Caenorhabditis elegans: one gene and its partner. The protein of the gene in region 1 purifies or fractionates together with the protein of each later gene. This does not show direct contact. Each region holds a gene or a part of one and is shown on either strand. Other genes may lie near its edges. The genes, in order: trp-1 and fbxb-112.

Region 1 (11,370 bases):
CGCTTTTTTCAGACTAAACTAATTTTGAATCAAATAGAGGTATGTTAACATAACAATTAATATATTCATCCCACTTATGCACATCACTCTTACCCTAGCGCTCCACCGAACACGTTTGCTTGTTGCGCATGTCTATAACATTATGAATGCTTATTTTTAATTTGTAGTAAACTTCTGAGCTAATTTAGTTCGGAAATTGATTGGAATTTCAGCTATTAAATTATAGATATCATGCAACAAGACATCGACGGGACCATCTAGAAAAACTGAGAGTGTGCAAATGGAATCATTAATGAAGATTAAGCCATCAAGGAGTAGGAGACTGAAAATAAATGCTCAGAAAAGTGCAACAATTATAGAAGAAAATATAGCCTAAATAATATTAAATCTCTTTCTTTTTGTTGTTTTTTTAAACTTTCAAATGAACTTTTTTTGTTTTACTGGGTTGATATCAACTGATAAAATAAATAATTTACTTTTACAGTAGTTTCAATTTAGCGACATAAGGCACTTTGTACGAGCTCTATTGGAACCTCAAAACGAGAAAACGCCAGAAACGTTTAGAAAATTTGTTTTATGTGATATCTAGATCTATAGAATAACGAAGATTGAAAGAAGTGTTTATAATATAATTTTTATTATTCGATTATTACCTAAATTAGAAATATATATGTACCCGTTGACATTAGAGGAAACATAAATTGAAACTATTTTTCTACATTAAAACCGACATGACTATGAGATGCAGGGCTGGGACTCTTCACATTTTCAGAGATTCCACTTATTAATCGATCCAATTTCTCATTCATCTCCTTTTTCAGCGTTTCGATCAATTCCACAGCTGGTAGGTTTTCTTGGGAAGCCCTGGAAAATTGACAATTTTCAGTAAAAAAGGAATATTCAGATCTACCTCAAAACTCCCCTTGGAGGTTTTACAATTGAAGTATCCAGAGCTGTTCCGTTGATTGGGAAGCTCATTGATGTATCCGTTTTTCGAAGAGCACTGTGTGGTGGTTGAGCAAATACCGGTAACAGTTTAGGCTGAAAGTATCGGCAATATTTTTTTGAAGCGGAATGGTGAATTTTTTGTACAACCGTAAAATACACCAACCCTTTTGTCTACTTACCGTAAATGAAGATGTATAAGTATCTGATAAAGGTCTATCGGGAAGTTTTGAATCAGCCTCACTTGCACGTCTTTTTGTGCTTTTCTTAACTGGAGCTTCTTCACTTATAATTCCAGGTAGAGTTGAGTTGACAGGGGGAATGTAGAGTACTGATGACTTCCGAGATCTTTAATTGTTAAATTTTTATAAATCATTTCTAAAATACTGCAAATAAGGAGTTTCAACTACACTACACTATTTTTAAAACTGAAAAAAGCGTAGAAGTTTTGAAAGAAAGTACTTTAGGAAAAACCTCGTCTCATCAGCCTCCTCGTCTGTTGAACTTGTTTCATCACTTTTATCATCTTCTTCTGATTCTTCTGCAACTGATGGTCGTGTCTTTGGAAGACGCATACTTCCACCGTAAGGTCGACGTGATGTTGTACTCATTGTACGCATAATATCTCGTTTCACTGCATCAATATGTGATGAGCTGCGAACGATTTCACGACGACGATCATCTCGGAGTTCGTATCTTTAACGTATTAATTAAATTATGATAATTTTTTGAGCAGGAAAAAGCTGGATATTTAATCTGATAATCTAAAAATACAGAATCGTTTTTACCTAAAAACCAAAACTTTTCTGTATTTCTAGATTTTCAGACTAGCGGGCCCTGCGGGCCCGCCGGTTGTAGGGGGTGTAAGGCGAGTCCCCTTGCCGGGCGTAGGCTCTCGGCTTCGCCTCGAACCTGTTAGAGGGTTCGTGAAAATTTCAGTAGGTGGGAGTCTTATTGATTTTTGAGTTCGGTTTGACCAAAAACAGATGCACCCGATGAATCAGTTAAAGCTGAGTTTTGATTGATTGAAGTTTGAGGAGGCTTTATATTAGGGGAGACGTACCCATATTTTGTATGAAATCGAGTATTTCTATTCGAATCCCGATTACTCACAAAAAAACAAAAAAATTTATCACTTGGTAGAATTGAACCAACTACCAAAATTTCTGCAGTCATTCGCACTAACCACTCGACCATGCAGGAGACACCTCAAACTGGGATGTAGGGAAGAAAATTTTCTGGAGGAAGTCGTCTTTCGATTCCGCTTTCTTCAATTATTACTATTTGGGGAAGACGTTCGAAAACCGTTTATTACTGATATGTCAGCGGGAAAACGAATTTTTGAAAATTTTATTACAGGATTGTACTCATTATTGATTTCCCAAAAAGGAGACGTACAGTTGAGGGCTATACCTCGTAAACCGGTCGATTTGTAGAAAAAAACAAGTTTTGGCCTGAAAATTAATAAAAATAATATCTCTTGGCAGAGTATTTCTAATGCGACGAAACTTCATCTTCCATTAAATAAAATCAAAAACTATGAATCAAAAATACATTCCGCAAAACTTTAGTGGAAAAAATGTTCAGGAGACCCAGGAAACCACTCCCCCCAATACTAAATTTTTGAATTATTGTTTTCTTGAAAAACTTTCCCACTGAACTTTTTACACATTTTATATGTCTCGATGCGTCTTGATGAGACCTACACGTCAATTTTTGGAAAACTAAGAAAACTTGAAAACTGACCGAGTTATGATTGAAAAAGTAGATTCGCGAAAATGGGAAAGTGTGCAAAATGTGGCACTTATTCGTCTTGCTCGGCCGACTCATAAAACTTTTCTTAATTCTGAGTTGAAAATCGTGTTCAGCGTACTTTTTTACGTGGGGTAGAAAAAAAAGTATCGAAAAAGATGAAGTAGAACTTGAGATAAAGACGAAAAACTACTTTTTCGGAAAAAAATTTTTTTTTGGCAAAATGTCATTTTTTGGCCTTTTGTTTTATCACAACTTTTTTCCTTTTGCACTTATAAACTCAAACTTTTTTTCAAAAAATCAGTCTCTCTGAGTAGTATCTTGCACATAAATTTGAAACAAAACCGAGCAAAACCCGAATTTTAATTCAATTAAAACATGCTTTTTTGGGGGTAAAAAGAGCAACAAAAAATTTTTTCAAACTGGGGAAAGCCGCCCTGGGCTCAATTTTGCTCCGAACTTAGTGCCGTTTTCTGCTCCACCGTGGGGCAAAATATTTCTAGTAGGATTTCAAATATTAGAGCATGAAGTCACACGGTTCAGGAGTTGTGAATGAAAACGTAGTGTGACATTTTTTCGCAAGCCAAAAAAAACGCGAAAAAACGCGAAAAAGGGGCGGAGTCTGTACACTCGGCATTTATTAGAGGCTGCTTGGCAGATTTTCAACTGCTATTTGGATGAAACGAAGATATTGTAGGATCTTGAAATTTTTCATATAAAAATTTTAAAATGGCTCACCTCAAACTACTAATGTCTTGTTTGATTTCATGTAGATCATCTTCATTAACTCCGTCCATTTTCATATCTTTCTTTGTTTGATGTATAAATCTTGCCACAAGTCTTGTAATTATATCAGCATATGTCAATGGTTTCAAAGAATCATCGTCGTGACCACCAGATTTTTCCATTTCATTTCTTTTTCGAGAATAGCCAGGACGCTGGAATAAGGGAAAAATAAGTAAAGATGAATGCTTTATATTTTCTTGGTAGTTCTGGTAAACGTCTTTGAAGATTATTGACCGTATTTCCTCGGTTTCACAGCTTCTATTAATTTTGCATCGAATTTGTTGTGGAGGCAGTTTTCATTTTCAAAATTCGAAAATCTTACCCTGATAGTTGCCCGATTCCTGTTTTTCTGATAAGTGTACTTTCCTAGAAGCCATCTGACAGTGTTGAATAGACAATTCATCACATATATTAATGACTTCGGAGTGACTATAATATTAAATGGAGGTGGAAGACTTGATCCTTCATCGAAGTGAGCCATCCAAAGCTTCGTTCGATGAAACTTCCATTCAAGATCCGCATGATCATTGATAATTTGAAACGAATGAGACATCATAGCAATGAGCATGTTAAGTAAGACAATTATTGAAGTACAATGATACATAATAAACATTCCTTGTCCAACCCATTGAGTTATTTTGTGATTTTCCACAACATCGGTATCTTCTGGTTTTGTAATCGAAAATAGAGACCAGAGAAGTGTCAAATAGGAATCGGCAATCGAGGAGAATACATTGGAACTGTGTTTGCATGTGGCACCAGGTAGGCATACATCTGTATTTGGATCATAGTACCAGTAGAGTTGAGCAAGGCCAATTGAGAAAGAACTTATTATTAGGACGAAGATGAAGCAGAACTTTGCAACGTCCACCAACATACATCCAAGGGATATCTGAAAATTGTCTTTTAATTGAAAGTGAGGCTCATTTTTGTTTTAACACAAAATAACTTGGCTTGAAAGGTGGAAAAATTTGTGCAAGACTGTGTTTAGGCTGAGTCCAAGTTTTATTTCAGTTTGCTCCAACTGGCCAAATTTGACCTTTTTAACTTTGCTGGCTGGGGGCTCGGTCTAAACCGAGTATTGCCCAACACTATCCCTTCTGCACAAAGTCAATTATTTATTGCTATATGCAAAATTTATTTACCTGCAGTGGCCCCAAATACGGATTTGTCTGGAACAAGTAAATAATTCGAGCAAACGAAAAAACATTTCCAACAGCGAACAACGCCTCCGCTACCAACATTGGTTCTTCAGATGTCCAATATGTGCGGACTGTGTACCGATATGGATCCTCACGATATGTAAAGATATAATACGCGCTTAGTCTGAAAATCAATTTTATATTTTGTATAGTTCTGATATATTATACCTTATTGAAATGGTGCATAAATAAAGGCAAATCATCAGGAAATCAAGCCAATTCCACCATTGTCTCATATATCGTTTAAAACCTTCTTCCCATAATTGCTTAATTTCTGACCATAACATTCCAATTACCCATGTGAATACGAGTGATTCAACCCATGTTGCTGGTGGACCACGGTCAGATGCTCTTGTCATTCCACCCTGGAAATATGATTTCCTATATAGAATTTTTTTGAGTTAATAATTTCAACTTCAGAAATGTTCCAAATTTCTTAAAACTAACCCTTTCTCCTTTTTCGTATCGATAATCTTCAAAAGTGGCCCACGTTAAAAGTCCTAAAAACGTTGCAAACGACACCGAGTAGTAAAAGAATTTCATGAATGGAGACCGTACTAACCGACCCAATCGGCTTTTTGGCATCTGAAATTATCTTTGTCAAAATTGAAAATTTTTCAAATACTCACTAGAATATACATGAGACAGAATATTGGCCAGAGAAAAAGTAGAAAAGCGTAGAGGAAAAAATTAGCCCAGGTACCACTCCGCTGCCGATATGGAATACCTTCATACCAGATAGAGGTGAGCAACTGTTGACAATGAGGATGAGAGACAAACTGAAAATTGATAAGTTTGATTAAGTTTAATAATATGTGTTCAGGGAATTTAGTTGAGCTGAAATAATAAATTATTTGTTGCACAATTTCAAAAAAAATAACTCACAGCTTTTTGTTCATATTTGATAGCCAGTTTTAACCTTGAAAGCGATAGTTTACTTGCCCAAACATCAATATTATCATCATTCACATTTCCATCCTTATTTAAAATTGCGATAACTTCTTCAGAACTTCGACATTGACTTAATAAATCACATGAATATTGTTTACATTGCTCCGAAAGTTGCAAATATGTCTCTTTGAATTCATGCTCCTCAAATGCCAATCGTTGTAGATCCCATGAAAGTTTGAAAGCGGATAGAATTGGATCGGGACTTGTAAGAGACATCCATGCAGGGCTTGCAAGAGCTCGAAATGTGTTGATTCGTTTTAGAGAGTACTGTAATGAGTCGTTCAAACGCTCACGATCGCATGTTTCGCAAATGCAGGAATGTCTGAAATGTTAGGATTGGTATTTCGACCCCAAATTTGTTTGTATTTTAAAAAATACCTGTGCGGTTTTTCAATACTTGCATCTTTTCGAATTAACATTTGCAAAATCTCAAATTGGTTGAGTTGTGCTGCCAATATAACCGGAGAAATATCACTTGAATATTCGGCACTAGCAGCTTCGGAAGGATCAAGAGCTTGACTCCAACCGTCTCCAAGCATTTCTCGAGTAATATTCGGATGATTTACAAGAACTTCGACAAGACGATATACACCTGGAATAATTATAAAAAATATTTTTTAAAAATGCTGTGGTTTACGGACCTTCTCGGATTGCACATAGCAGTGCATTGCCAATTCTGATATCTGGTTGTTGGAGCAAAAGTTCAACAACTTCCATATTTTCGTTGTCAACTGCAATTTCCAAAGCTGTTCTTCCCATTGAATCGAGGCAATTCACGTTGAGACGGCGGTCTCCGTCCTTCAATAATTTTAATTTCAAAAAAACAATGATTTGAAATAACTCACGTAATCCAAGCATTCTTGTAATGTGGGCTTGTTTCCAAGTTCTGCAGCTTCGAGGAACCTAAACAGATTATTAGACAATATGTAGTAACCATGTAATAATTGGGCGTGTTTTAAACTTTTTACACGACTTTTTCTCGAAAATAACCCATTATTATTGTTTATTATATATAAATATATTGAGGTCGTTTCGAGCAGCTTAAAGGTAAGCCCCTACGAGTAGCAGATTGTCTTTAGTTCAATTAATATATCTAACAAAACTACTTATGGTGCAATACCAATAGCTAAACTATGGTAAGTTTTAATATAAATGCTGAAAAAGCTCAAGATGAAAACACGTACGGAGAAATGTTTTTACTGGAAAAGTGCCCAACACTTTATAAAACAACAAACCTTCTTTCTTCTGGACTAATCATATCATTTGTCCGAATGTGAACAGCAGCCGGTGGTGGGATATTCGCCAAAGCGTAGTTCCTCCTTGGCCTTGGCGATGGAGCACATCGAGAGAATCGGCGTCCTGCTGCCGACAGCATCCTTCAATTTTAAACAAAATTATTCCATTTCCTGCTTTAAGGTGCCCCTAGAGTTTTTTTTTGTGTGTTTGTACTTTGGCAAAGTGAAGTAAAATCTACTTTGATAGAGTGGAAAGCAGGGAAAAAAGCTCCTCCTAATAAAATTGAATCGTTTGTGCTTTTCCGCCAAACTTTCTTGTTAAACGTTTGATGGCTAGTTGTTGGGGCAAATTGGAAAGAAACAACCGATAAAATCGTTTTGTTGTGGTCCCTCTATTACACCCCGCGCTTACGTAGTTCAGTCTAGAGCCCCCGCAAATGCTTAACATAGCCCCCTGATTCTTAAGTTATAGAGCACTCGAAAAACTTATTAACTCAAGTGGAGGGTCTCGTCTATATTTCCTTCTAAAAAGTTATGCGCACCGGACGCCATCCTCCATTCCAATCATTCCCTTCGTTGTTGTCGGCACGAATTGATAGAAGCTTCTTCTAGTCCTAGTGAGAAGAATAGAAGAAGCTGAACATTTTTAAAGCTTATACAAATTTACAAGTTTATCTGAGAGACAAAAATTGAAATTAAACAAAAACCTCTTCGTCAATTTTTTTTCGAAAAAAATGTTTAAAGTCGGTCAAAGGATAGAGGAAAGAAATTTTTATAGTTGTGTCAAAATCCCGTGAGGACAAATTTCTAACAGATGATGATGATTGTGAAGTGATGAGACATGGGAAATTAAATGGAAAATGAAAACACATGTGGAAACTTCGACGAAGAAACGAGAGGACGACTGAGTTGAGAAATAATAATTTTAGGATTATTCAAAATAGAGAAGGACAGTAATAGGTAGTTTGAAAACTGCAAGTATAATACTAATAAAAAATTGTATATGAAAGGTTTTTCAGAACAAAAAACCTTTATTTAGAAACTAAAACTACAGCCAAAAAAGGTCGATCGCACCGCGCTTCTCTTTTGTATTTTTTAAATACCAACTCAATTTAATCCCTTAACTTAGGTGGGGCATTGTATATTACTTTTTATATATGAACTTTGTAGGCCTTAAGCAAGTCTCGAAACCACTAAAAAATTTAAAAACTTCAATATTTCATCATGATGGGCTTTTATGAGGGTATTTCAATAAAAAACCTCACCGATGATACTCCAAAAAATGTCAGATAGATTTTTTCTATAAACCACAGACGGATCAGCTGTTGCCTCCAATTACCTACCCTTCTTTTGTCATTGCGAATATCGAATATCAAATTGCTCAGGCAGTAGACACATGTATAATACAAATAGGTTTTCAGCTTCTCGGAAAGACAAACAAATGAAAGAACGTCTACAAATCTCTGAGAAAATATTTGGAAGATTTCCCAACGGACCTGACATTTCTGAAAGTTCAAAAACATGGGACACGTGGTGGGGTCTTTGAGCTATGGATGACCAGGAGGGAAAATGTATTTTTTGTGAACATTTGTTTGTCTGGATAGTAAGAGGAGTTTGGTCATTGAAACAACTGTTGTCAATTGAGATGTTTTCTTTTTTAAAAAGTGTCTGTGATTTGACAACAAGGTGTTTACAATAAATCAGAGATCCTTTTCTCAAGCTATTTTTCACCTTTTTTCTACAAAATAGAGGGATGAATGGGATGAATTTTGATCAAACAGTTGTCAATAATAATTACTTTGCTTTTAAGCTTGAAAATGCATTTCCAGTGTAACTAATGAAAATGCTCCTACTTGAACTTCGAAAAAAATAATAAATCAACTATCCGTTTTTTTTTCATTTAAACAGCACGAGAAAAAAATTAACAATTTCCAGAGTTTGCTTCTAATTGTAAATGCAAAAATAGGTGGTAGACAGGAACTTAGCCCGACTCAAAAGAATTAGCCGAACACAAATTCAAGTAAACAACAGGCACACAATTTAAAACTGTTCGAAGAAGATGTTCATAAGCTTGAAATTCTCTAACCCAGTAGACACGGAAAGAGGTGGAAAGACTGAAGGAAAGTGTGTGAAAAATGCCCGAAGGGGGTGGATAAGAGTAGATGGGAATGGCTCAAAAAATCAGTGAGTGTGAAGATGATGATGAAGAGTGGAGAAAGAGGAACCACGGCGGTTGAATAAGAAGAATGATCTAAAAGAGAAAAGAAGAAAAACAGAAGAAAGAAGGAGAAGAAGCAGATGGAAAAGAAAAGGAAGATGTCGCCCCGAATTTGACGAGATGAGCCTTCGTTTTCCTGTCAAAACGAAAAAAAAAAGAGACTTGTGATATCGAACATGACTCCGCCCCCAATTTTTTTCGGGGGACCCTCTTCTCCCTTTTTGATTTTCGTTTGAAGACGTTGAAAATAGAAATGCGCTCACAACTTGTCGTTTTCGTAAGAACCGCCGGTAATCTTATTCGAGAAGAGACGAGCGAGAAAGACTGAAGATGTCAAAAGTCTTGACTTTTTTAGGAGGACTAGAAAGTAGACTTCTAGTGAAAATATTTGTGAGTACAATTGAACTTGGAAGGTTTTTTAACTATTGAAAATATTTCTAAAAAGCGTTTCATACCAGAATCAACAATGATAAGGCGTCCGAAGAAGGAAGTCTATGTGTCCAAAAAATTCGGCTCAATCACTAAAGTTAAACTTGAAAATTGAACGTGTTTTGCAAGAAACTTGAAAATTTATGAAAACTATAGAAGAATAAATGTCCCTAGAGACCAGTTATGTACTCGCTTGAATCATATTTCAGCGCAAAGAGCACATTTTTCATCGTGTGGGGAACTCGATGTTTTCACTTCTTTTGGGCATTTTTTACGCAAAGTGCAGGGATCATTTTCCGTCTGCAGTTTCGCCGAAAGATTTAAATTTTTCTGTAACTTTCAGTTAAATAAACAACTTAATGATACTTCATCAAAATTTCAGTTGGACATACCATAATCATCAATTTTTAGAAACAGAATCTTATATTTACGCCACCATTGAAAAATTGTTCAATATAAATTTTCAAATATTTTTGCAAACCGCAAACTTTCATATGTTTTGTTTTTATATCAAAACAAATCTGCAAATTTTTTTCAAACACAAAATAAATTAAAAACTAAAAATAAAACTTACGTCTCCGTATCCAAATACTGATACGAATTCTTGTGATTCATCCTCGTTGCTCCACCAGTTTAATCTCCTTATTTAATGCCGTTTCCCGCGACAAATTTGTCGTCATTTAATTATGATGTCTTCCTAAATCTGTGGACTTCTTTAGAATACGGGGGGTAGCAAAAAATCGGAGAAAAAAAAAGAAATTTAAGGAAATAATCTGTTTTGATATGAGAAAACAGTGACAAGAAATCAGAAAATGATTTGTTTCTATTTTTTTTGTTGCGACTTTTCGAATATTCTTGTCACTCCATTTTAGTTTCACCTCGAAATAATTGTTAGATTTAAAAGTTAAAATTGTTAACCTAAAAATTATTAAGTTATTAAAAAGTTAATAACAAGCTAGATGGCAAAAAACTATTTGCCTTCCTTTTTGCCATCTAGGCGGCCCACGCCTGCCACATGCCTACATGCGTGCCTACTTCCAATGGCCAACGTTCAGCCCATATTTTATGGCATTCAAACCGCCCCGCGTGATCAGTCTACATACTTTCTAAGGACGTTACAGAAATTGAACCAATAGAGTAACAAAAATTCTAAAAAAAACCTCATAAACGATAATAAGGTTTAATTTTAAAAAAGAACATGGCTCTGCGTATGTTTTTGAATATTTAACTTTTGTTCGTTACTCAAAAAAACAAGTATGAAGACCATTCGGTTCCAAAATGTCTCCAGGGATTCTTTTCAAAAGACTTCAGAAGCATCGAAAAATAAGAAAACGAGACAACGACGAGGATTTCATTGAGACTGAAAACGAAATAAGAAAGGAATGTTGTGTATGTGTAAGGAAAGGAAAAGATGCTGAAATGGTTCCCACGGCGAAACGATTTGGAAAGAAATTTGATACTCTTTGGCTAAAAATTGCGTGACATTTTATTGGAGATGTCACATCTGTACATTTGAATTTTTACTTTATAGAGGTGATTAAGCCTCTCATCATTTTTAAATGTTTTGTAAGAAAACTTCAGATATACAGAGATCTATTTCAAAGCCTCATAGCATGAAGCTTCAAGAAAAAAGTTATGCCAGAGAACATCATAAAGGGCGGCCGTTGGCTCACTTTCCGTTATACTCTATTAAAAACGGGGATAAAAAATTTGAGAGACCAGCTGGTGAGTCCAATGGCTTTTTAGCTTATTCTTATCCTGAAATCTATTTAATATTTACACGCAATCTTTTCTCTTGATTTAAAAAAAAGGATTAAAGGACGATCCGTTCTTCAAGTGCTACGCACTGCGG
Region 2 (7,731 bases), on another chromosome or scaffold:
AAAAAAAATCAAAAAATTCGCAATTTTTAGATTTTTTTAAAATCTCAATTTTCTATAATTATTTTCCTAAAAAAATGTAATTAAAAAACCGCTAAAAACGGTAAATTCCAAATTTTTGCATTTTTTCAAAAAAAATTTGAAAAAAAAAATCAGAAAATTCTCAAATCTATTCCCTTTTTTTAAAATTTTTCCCAAACCAAAAAAAAAAACGGTAAATTTTCAAATTTAGCATTTTTCCAAAATTAAACATAAAAAAAAACGCAAATTTCCAAATTTCGTTTTTTTTTCAAAAAAGTTGAAAAATCCAGAAAATACCCTCTTGTCCATGAAAAAATACGAAAATTTTCAATAAAAAATCAATTTCTTCTTAAAAAATTAATTCTCGATTTTTCCATGAAAAAAAATCAAATATTAATTAAATTTGAAAAAAAAAAGAATTTATCTAATAGTTTCGTTTTTTTTCAGAGGAAAAATTTGAAAAAAAAAACAGTAAATTCTCTTTCTTTTTGAAAAAAAAAATTATCGATTCTTCCAAGTTTTTTCCCGAAAAAATCGACAAAAAAACGAGAATTTCCGATTTTCTATTTTTTTTTTCAAAAAAATGTGAAAAAAAAAATTAAAAAATTCCAATTTTGCATTTTTTTTTCAAAAAAAATTTAAAAACACCGTATAATTCCCGATTTTTCCATGAAAAAATACGAAAAATTCCAATAAAAATCAACTATTTTAAAAATTTGCCGTTTTTTCAGATATTTCGAAAAATCTGCCAACTCTCGTCGCGAGGAAGAACAAAACCGCCGTGAGCAGCAACGTGAACGTGAACGAGCCGAACAAGAACGCCGCCGTGAACGTGAAAAAGAACGTGAACAGGAAAAAGCCAAGGAACGAGAGAAAAAGCGAAAAGAATTGGAAGAATCATCAGGCTACGATGAATGTTATCCAGGCGGCCTAGTAGAGATGGGCGGTGCATGGGATTCAGATGAAGAAGCCGACTATTCGAAAATGGATGCAGGGCCTAAGAAGAATCAAGCTGTTAATCGATGGGATTTTGATACGGAGGAGGAGTATGCCTCTTATATGGTGCTTACAATTTTCTGGAGAAAAATATTTTAAAAAATAACGAAAATGGACCGAATTTTTGGAGAAAATTTTAAAAAAAACGACATTTTTCCCAAAAAATTGAAAAATTTCCGAAAAAACGTTCAAAATTTTCAAAAAAGGAGCATTTTTCGAAAAAAAAAACGATAATACGGAAATTTTTTGATTTTCCAGTTTTTTTCTCAAAGAAAATCGGAAAAAGGTTTTTTTTCTTTAAAAACGTCCAAAATTTTTCGAAAAAAGAGAAAATTTTCGATTTTCCGATTTTTTTCAGAAAAAAATTGAAAAAAAAAGAAATTTTCCGATTTTCTCAGAGAAAGACGAAAAGACGATATTTTTCGGAAAAAAGTTGAAAAATCAAAAAAAAAACCGAAAAACGGCCGAAATTTTCTAAAAATTGGAAATATTGTCGATTTTTCGAAAAAAAAGAGTCAAAAGTTTTCAAAAAAATATATTTTTTCGATTTTCCGTTTTTTTTTTTCAGTAAACATTGAAACAAACGAAATTTTTCCAAAAAAATCCAATTATTTTCCCAAATATCGAAATATTTTTGATTTTCCGTTTTTTTCAGAAAAAAGTTAAAAAAAAAAGGGAAAATTAAGATTTTCCTGATTTTTTTTGAGAAAAAATCGATAAAAATTGAATATTCTGGAAAAAACCTTTAAAAAATTCGAATTAAATCGAAAAACGTCCAAAATTTTCTAAAAAATTGAAATTTTTTTTGAAAAAAAACGGAAAAATTTAGATTTCCCGACTTTTTTCAATGAAAAATCGAATTTTCGTTGACTTTTCATTAAAAAATCCAAACGCATTTTTTTCCACTAAAATCTCGAAAAAGTGTCATATTGCACCATATTGTTTCCACATTCATATTATTTTGAGCTAAATCAGGTGATTTTCTGTATTTTGATACTAATTTCTATTTTTAGAAAAAATGTGGGAACAATATGGTGCAATATGACATTTTTTCGAGATTTTAGTGGAGAAAAAATGCGTTTGGAAACGAATTTTATAATAAAAAGTCAACGAAAATTCGATTTTTCATGGAAAAATAGGGAAATCGAAAACAAATTTGCTTTTTTTTCAAAAAAAAAAACGGAAATTCGAAATTTTTCCGTTCTTTCAAAAAAAAAATCGATTTTTTTGGAAATTTTTTTTTTCAAATTTTTAAAAATTTCCAGGAAGGACGTGAAGCTCTGCCAAAAGCCGCCTATCAATACGGAGTCAAAAATGGAGAAGGTGGCCGAAAGAACAAGAAACAGTCGGCAGTGTCGGATGCGAAGCGGCTCGATCGGGAGCTCAATGAGATTAACAAGATTATGGATAAACGGAAGGCCGGAGGAGATGGAGCCGGTGGTGGTGGAGATTATAAGAAGCCTAAATATTGATTTTTTTAATGATTTTTATGAATTCTTTGCTTCTTTTCCGTTCGTTTCAATAATAAATTTTACTCTAAAAAGTGATTTTTTAAAAAAATCTTTTTAAAAAAGTTGCTCTGAAAATGATAAAAATCGAATTATTTTTTTCGAATTTTTAACGGTGCAAATGCGCTCCACAGCAAATCCGGAAAACGCCCCGCCCTCAAAGCATGGGTCTCGTTAGGTATAAGCCGATATAGGTAAAGGGATAGGTAAAGGGATAGGTATAGGTATAGGTAAAGGCATAGGCATAGGCATAGGTATAGGTTTTGGTATAGGTATAGGTATAGGTATAGGTATAGGTATAGGACTAGGTATAGGTATAGGTATAGGTATAGGTATAGGTATCGGTATAGGTATCGGTATAGGTATAGGTATAGGTATAGGGATAGGTATAGGTATAGGTATAGGTATAGGTATAGGAATAGGTATAGGTATAGGTATAGGTATAGGTATAGGTATAGGTATCGGTATAGGTATAGGTATCGGTATAGGTATAGGTAAAGGGATAGGTATAGGTAAAGGGATAGGTATAGGTATAGGTAAAGGGATAGGTATAGGTATAGGTAAAGGCATAGGCATAGGCATAGGTATAGGTTTTGGTATAGGTATAGGTATAGGTATAGGTTTAGGTATAGGTATAGGAATAGGTATAGGTGTATAGGAATAGGTATAGGTATAGGTATAGGTATAGGTATAGGTATAGGTATCGGTATAGGTATCGGTATAGGTATAGGTAAAGGAATAGATATAGGTATAGGTATAGGTATAGGTATAGGTATAGGTATAGGTATAGGTATAGGTATAGGTATAGGTATAGGTAAAGGGATAGGTATAGGTATAGGTATAGGTATAGGTATAGGTATAGGTATAGGTATAGGTATAGGTATAGGTATAGGTATAGGCTGGCCACGACGCAAATACCTCCTCGTGGGAAGTGTGCGGGAAGAGATCATAGACTATTCCTACCATACTGCGTTACATACGCGGTATTAAATACCAACTATCGATCATTCAGCCATTGTCTTTGGCTGCCATTGTGCTCACTTGTTGCTCAGCAGTCTTACTGCAATGTCTGTCGTCTCTTTTTCTCTTCTACGTCTTTCTAAAAAGGCACTGGATAATGTAACGAAGCACTTGAAATACATTAAAATGTAAGTTCGTAAGATTTTTTTTCTGTAAGGTTATGGTTAGGCATAGGCTCAGACCTAGGTTTAGACTTAGGCTTAGGCGTACCTGGAAACAAAATTGAATTTTCACAGTTTCACACGTCTTTTTCACAGTAAAAGCTAGTTTTTTAAATCATACCCGACAATTTTACAGTTTGTCGAAAAATTGATATCGGCATGCATTTTCTTAATTGTTTCAAATTTTTGTATACCAACGAGTCCGTTTCTCTTTCGGATTTTTTTTGATTTCTTACTAACTAACTGACTGATACTCAACAAATTATTAAAGGTGGAGTAGCGCCAGTGGGGATTTTGTCTAAATGCACTCATAATGATCCAAAACAACCGAATTTCATAATAAAACACTTCAAAAATTTTTCGATTTTTCACAATTTCCGGTCAAAGTTTTGGCAAATTGTCAAAATTTTGAAAAATACTAGCTTTTGAGGAAATTTAAAGAAATGTCGCATGTTTCGACCTCTACAATGTTTTAATACAAATAATTTTAACAAAATTAAAACATAAAAAATGTCGAAAAAAATTTTTTGGTCGACTTCCAAAATTATGAGTGGCAAAAACTGAATAATTGCCACTTTTTGACAGTAAATAAAAAATTTTCAAAATTTTTTGAAAAGTTTTATCATGATATTTGGTCATTTTGGGACCAAAGGAGTGGTTTTTTTTTACTCCACCTTTAATAAACCTAATATCGGAGACAGTTGATGTAAATATTAAATATTACAGTGACTTCTTTTCAGAATCGGACTAACCACGCTCTCCAAGAAGACGTCAAGGTTGTTTAGACTCAATTACAAGGAGGCTCGAATTTTTATTGATATTACTGAAACAATTAATATTTCAATTCGAGATCCATCGAAACATATAACAAGAAAGTTATTGAATGACGGCGTAGCCAATCTACATGACTATCGGTATATGGGACCAACATGGACTGCTGAATGGGTTTTAAAACATTTCGGAATACGGGATTGGATGGTTCTCGTTAAACAGCTGACTGGCCAGGAAGAAATTGAGAAGCTTTGTTTTAGAAAAAACCACCAAAACTACTCAATCGATGAATTCAAGAAGTTTTTCGAAGGATTCAAAGTATCATGTTTATCAATTATTGATCCATCATTTAACTCTCATGGTTTGATTCCCTGCTTTTCCCCTGAAAAAGTGATGCACTTGACTATCGAAAAAGCTTCTAACTAATCGATTCTCGCAGCAAACTTCGAAACCCTAGATATTCACGATGATAGCACTTACACACTGAACGATGTATTGGTAATGAATAGCCCGAATATCTTAATTTCTCTGGGAACACTGTCTGACGTTGAGCTCAACCTGTACTTGAAGCATTTCATTAAAGGCTCAAATCCGATGCTTGAGTTCTTGTTTTTGCTTTACGACTTTGATGATCAAATTATGAAGGAAGATGTTGTCTTCAAAGGAGTTCCTTATACAATTTTATCGCAAAATCTGGAATCATGTTACGTCAAAAAAGAGACTGGTGAGGAAGAATATGTATATGGTGGATATGAAATAACGAGAGATGATGGTAAAATGGCACTTGTTCATATCAAAAAAACGACGCTCATTTATCGAGTTCAAAGTTATTCTTGTTGGTTTAACTGAACGGGTATTACGGGACGGGCGTTATTGGCGGAGATTATTCTGACCAGGGACTCTATTTTGGTGACAAGAGAATTATGTGTCGAATGATATATTTTCTGAATGCTAATACAATGAACATACCGAATTCAAAATAAAATCTTGCCCAAATTGATGTTAAAACAATTTTTTTTACTTCGAATGCGTATTTAAGCCAAAATGTCGTTGTTTTTGAAGCTTCAGATATCGATGGACTTGGAAGATACAAGAAAATAGTCAACAGACAAAATATTAAGAACAATACGAAAATCATTGCAAAATATAATGTGCATTTAAAATGTTAAAAATTAGCATAAAATTTCATCGTCTTATGAGATGAATGAGATCGTCTTTGAAAGGAAATAGAAAAATTAAAGTGTTCATAATAATATAATGATTTTCGTATGTATTGTTCTTAATATTTTGTCAGTTGACTATTTTTTTGTATCTTCCAAGTCCATCGATATATGAAGCTTCAAAAACAACGACATTTTGGCTTAAATACGCATGCAGAGTAAAAAAATTGCCTTAACATCAATTTGGGCAAGATTTGATTTGATTTGATTTATTACGATTGGGATCGTGATGGAATAAAAGCAGTATAGTATAAAGACAGAAAAATAAATACACAATACATAGAATACACAATACAATAATCAAAAAGTTACGAATAAAGTACAAGCAAGAAAAGCAATTATTACCTGCAAAAGTTGATTAATTGGAACATTAAAGTGAACATTTAATTTATTAATTGTATTAATTAATGTACATTTAATTAATTGAATTATTTTATTTTAAATTCAATATGTTCATTGTATTAGCTTTCATAAAATATATCATTCGACCCACAACTCTCTTGACACCAAAAAAAGAGTCCATAGTGAGCTATCGTTGTATTTTTTTGGTTTTCTGTAGTTCAACTATGCTGTAAATTGTGCTCATTTTCTGATCTTCGCCATTTCTCGTGTATCATTGTTTTTCTCACTAATCGTTTATATAAATTTGCATTTTTTATTTAAAATTATTTTTTCACTATGTTTCACACTCAAAACCTCGAAAAACATACATTATTATTAAAAAATTAAATTATGATGTAAAATATTAAAAAGAGATTCTTCTAATTAAAATCATCGCCCGACGACGACGAGAAATCCTCCGAATAGTCTGATGACGTCACTGATGATGGTCCGGGTGCCGAGCCATCCGCATTTCGGTGCTCAGGCTCTGGCTCCGGCGGCGGAGCCAATGACATTGTTGCTCCATGGTAACCGTCCACGTGGAAGGTGTCTGCAATCGGAACCTCTCGTCGCTTCTTCTTTTGAACATAGTCGACGACATCGTGAACTAACGCCTTCGGTACCATGATGTACGTGTAGCCAAGTGCAAATGGAACGCCGATTGCTGGAAAATATTGATTTTTTGGAAAATTTGAAAAAATATTGGTGGGGTATGCGATTTTTTCCGGTCAAATTGAAGAATTTTAGCGAAATCTCTATGTGTCGATTTACGCGCGGCTCGTGTACTCCCCGAGGAGAAGGATTTTCGATTTCTTGCGATTTTTTTTCGGTGTTTTCAAATCAGAAAATTTGAATTTCCCGCCAAAAATTTTACGTTTTTCAGAAAATTCAAATTTCCCGCCAAAATTGAATTTTTTAAAAGAAAATTTAAATTTCCCGCCAAAATTGAATTTTTTTAAAGAAAATTTAAATTTCCCGCCAGAACTGTTTTTTTTGGGAAAATTTGAATTAGCCGCCTAAATTAAATTTTTTTTTAGAAAATCTGAATTTCCCGCCAAAATTAATTTTTTTAAAGAAAATTCAAATTTCCCGCCAACATCACAAAATTGGCGATTTATATCTATGAAAAATCAGGGAAAATGGTGAAAAATCAGCGAAAATGGCCAAAATTTCTGCCCACTTCTCCACGAGGACTCCACGAGCTGCGTAAATCGACACTCTTTGGAAAATTCATTTTTTGCTAATTTTCGGTAATTTTTCTAAATTTTTTGTGATTTTTTTTGCGAAAATTTTCCAATTTCCTGTAAATGTTCCATTTTTTGAAGTTTTCTGAAAAATAAAAATAAATTTCACAAAATTTTTTTTTTTTAATTAAAGTTTTTAAATTTTACTTATAAAAATATTACGAAAAAACTGAAATATTTAGTGAAAATTTCAGATTAAAAAAAAAAAAATTTTCCCAAAAATTCCAAAAAATATTTTTTTGTGATTTTTTTCCGAAAATCCGCTAATTTCCTGTAAATTTTCCAATTTCCTCCGAATTTTTGCCAATTTCCATTGAAAAACGAACCAACAGCAACTCCGGCAATGGCCGGCGAAACGATGGCCGAAGTGGTGACGGCGGCGGCCGTCGAGATGACTCTTTTCGCCTTCGAT

Evidence for each region.
Region 2: the proteins of trp-1 (region 1) and fbxb-112 fractionate together in Caenorhabditis elegans (co-fractionation; one large-scale study listed by BioGRID). This does not show direct contact.

What each region holds. Positions count from the first base shown.
Region 1 is NC_003281.10:8,531,989-8,543,358, reverse strand, and holds trp-1 (Transient receptor ion channel domain-containing protein), read right to left. Parts: upstream 7,440-11,370; coding exon 7,414-7,439; intron 7,013-7,413; coding exon 6,872-7,012; intron 6,540-6,871; coding exon 6,482-6,539; intron 6,435-6,481; coding exon 6,278-6,434; intron 6,229-6,277; coding exon 6,015-6,228; intron 5,959-6,014; coding exon 5,571-5,958; intron 5,465-5,570; coding exon 5,315-5,464; intron 5,271-5,314; coding exon 5,133-5,270; intron 5,051-5,132; coding exon 4,854-5,050; intron 4,810-4,853; coding exon 4,629-4,809; intron 4,376-4,628; coding exon 3,806-4,375; intron 3,636-3,805; coding exon 3,436-3,635; intron 1,642-3,435; coding exon 1,420-1,641; intron 1,294-1,419; coding exon 1,128-1,293; intron 1,042-1,127; coding exon 911-1,041; intron 865-910; coding exon 708-864; downstream 1-707. Other genes in the region: ZC21.6 (uncharacterized protein), read left to right, coding at 13-39, 227-376. UniProt on the Caenorhabditis elegans protein: Could mediate calcium entry and form a calcium permeant channel.
Region 2 is NC_003280.10:3,487,592-3,495,322, forward strand, and holds fbxb-112 (F-box domain-containing protein), read left to right. Parts: upstream 1-3,505; 5' UTR 3,506-3,587; coding exon 3,588-3,670; intron 3,671-4,443; coding exon 4,444-4,900; 3' UTR 4,901-4,992; downstream 4,993-7,731. Other genes in the region: Smu-2 suppressor of mec-8 and unc-52 protein, read left to right, coding at 750-1,080, 2,280-2,486; Y49F6B.9 (RBR-type E3 ubiquitin transferase), read right to left, coding at 6,456-6,739, 7,646-7,731.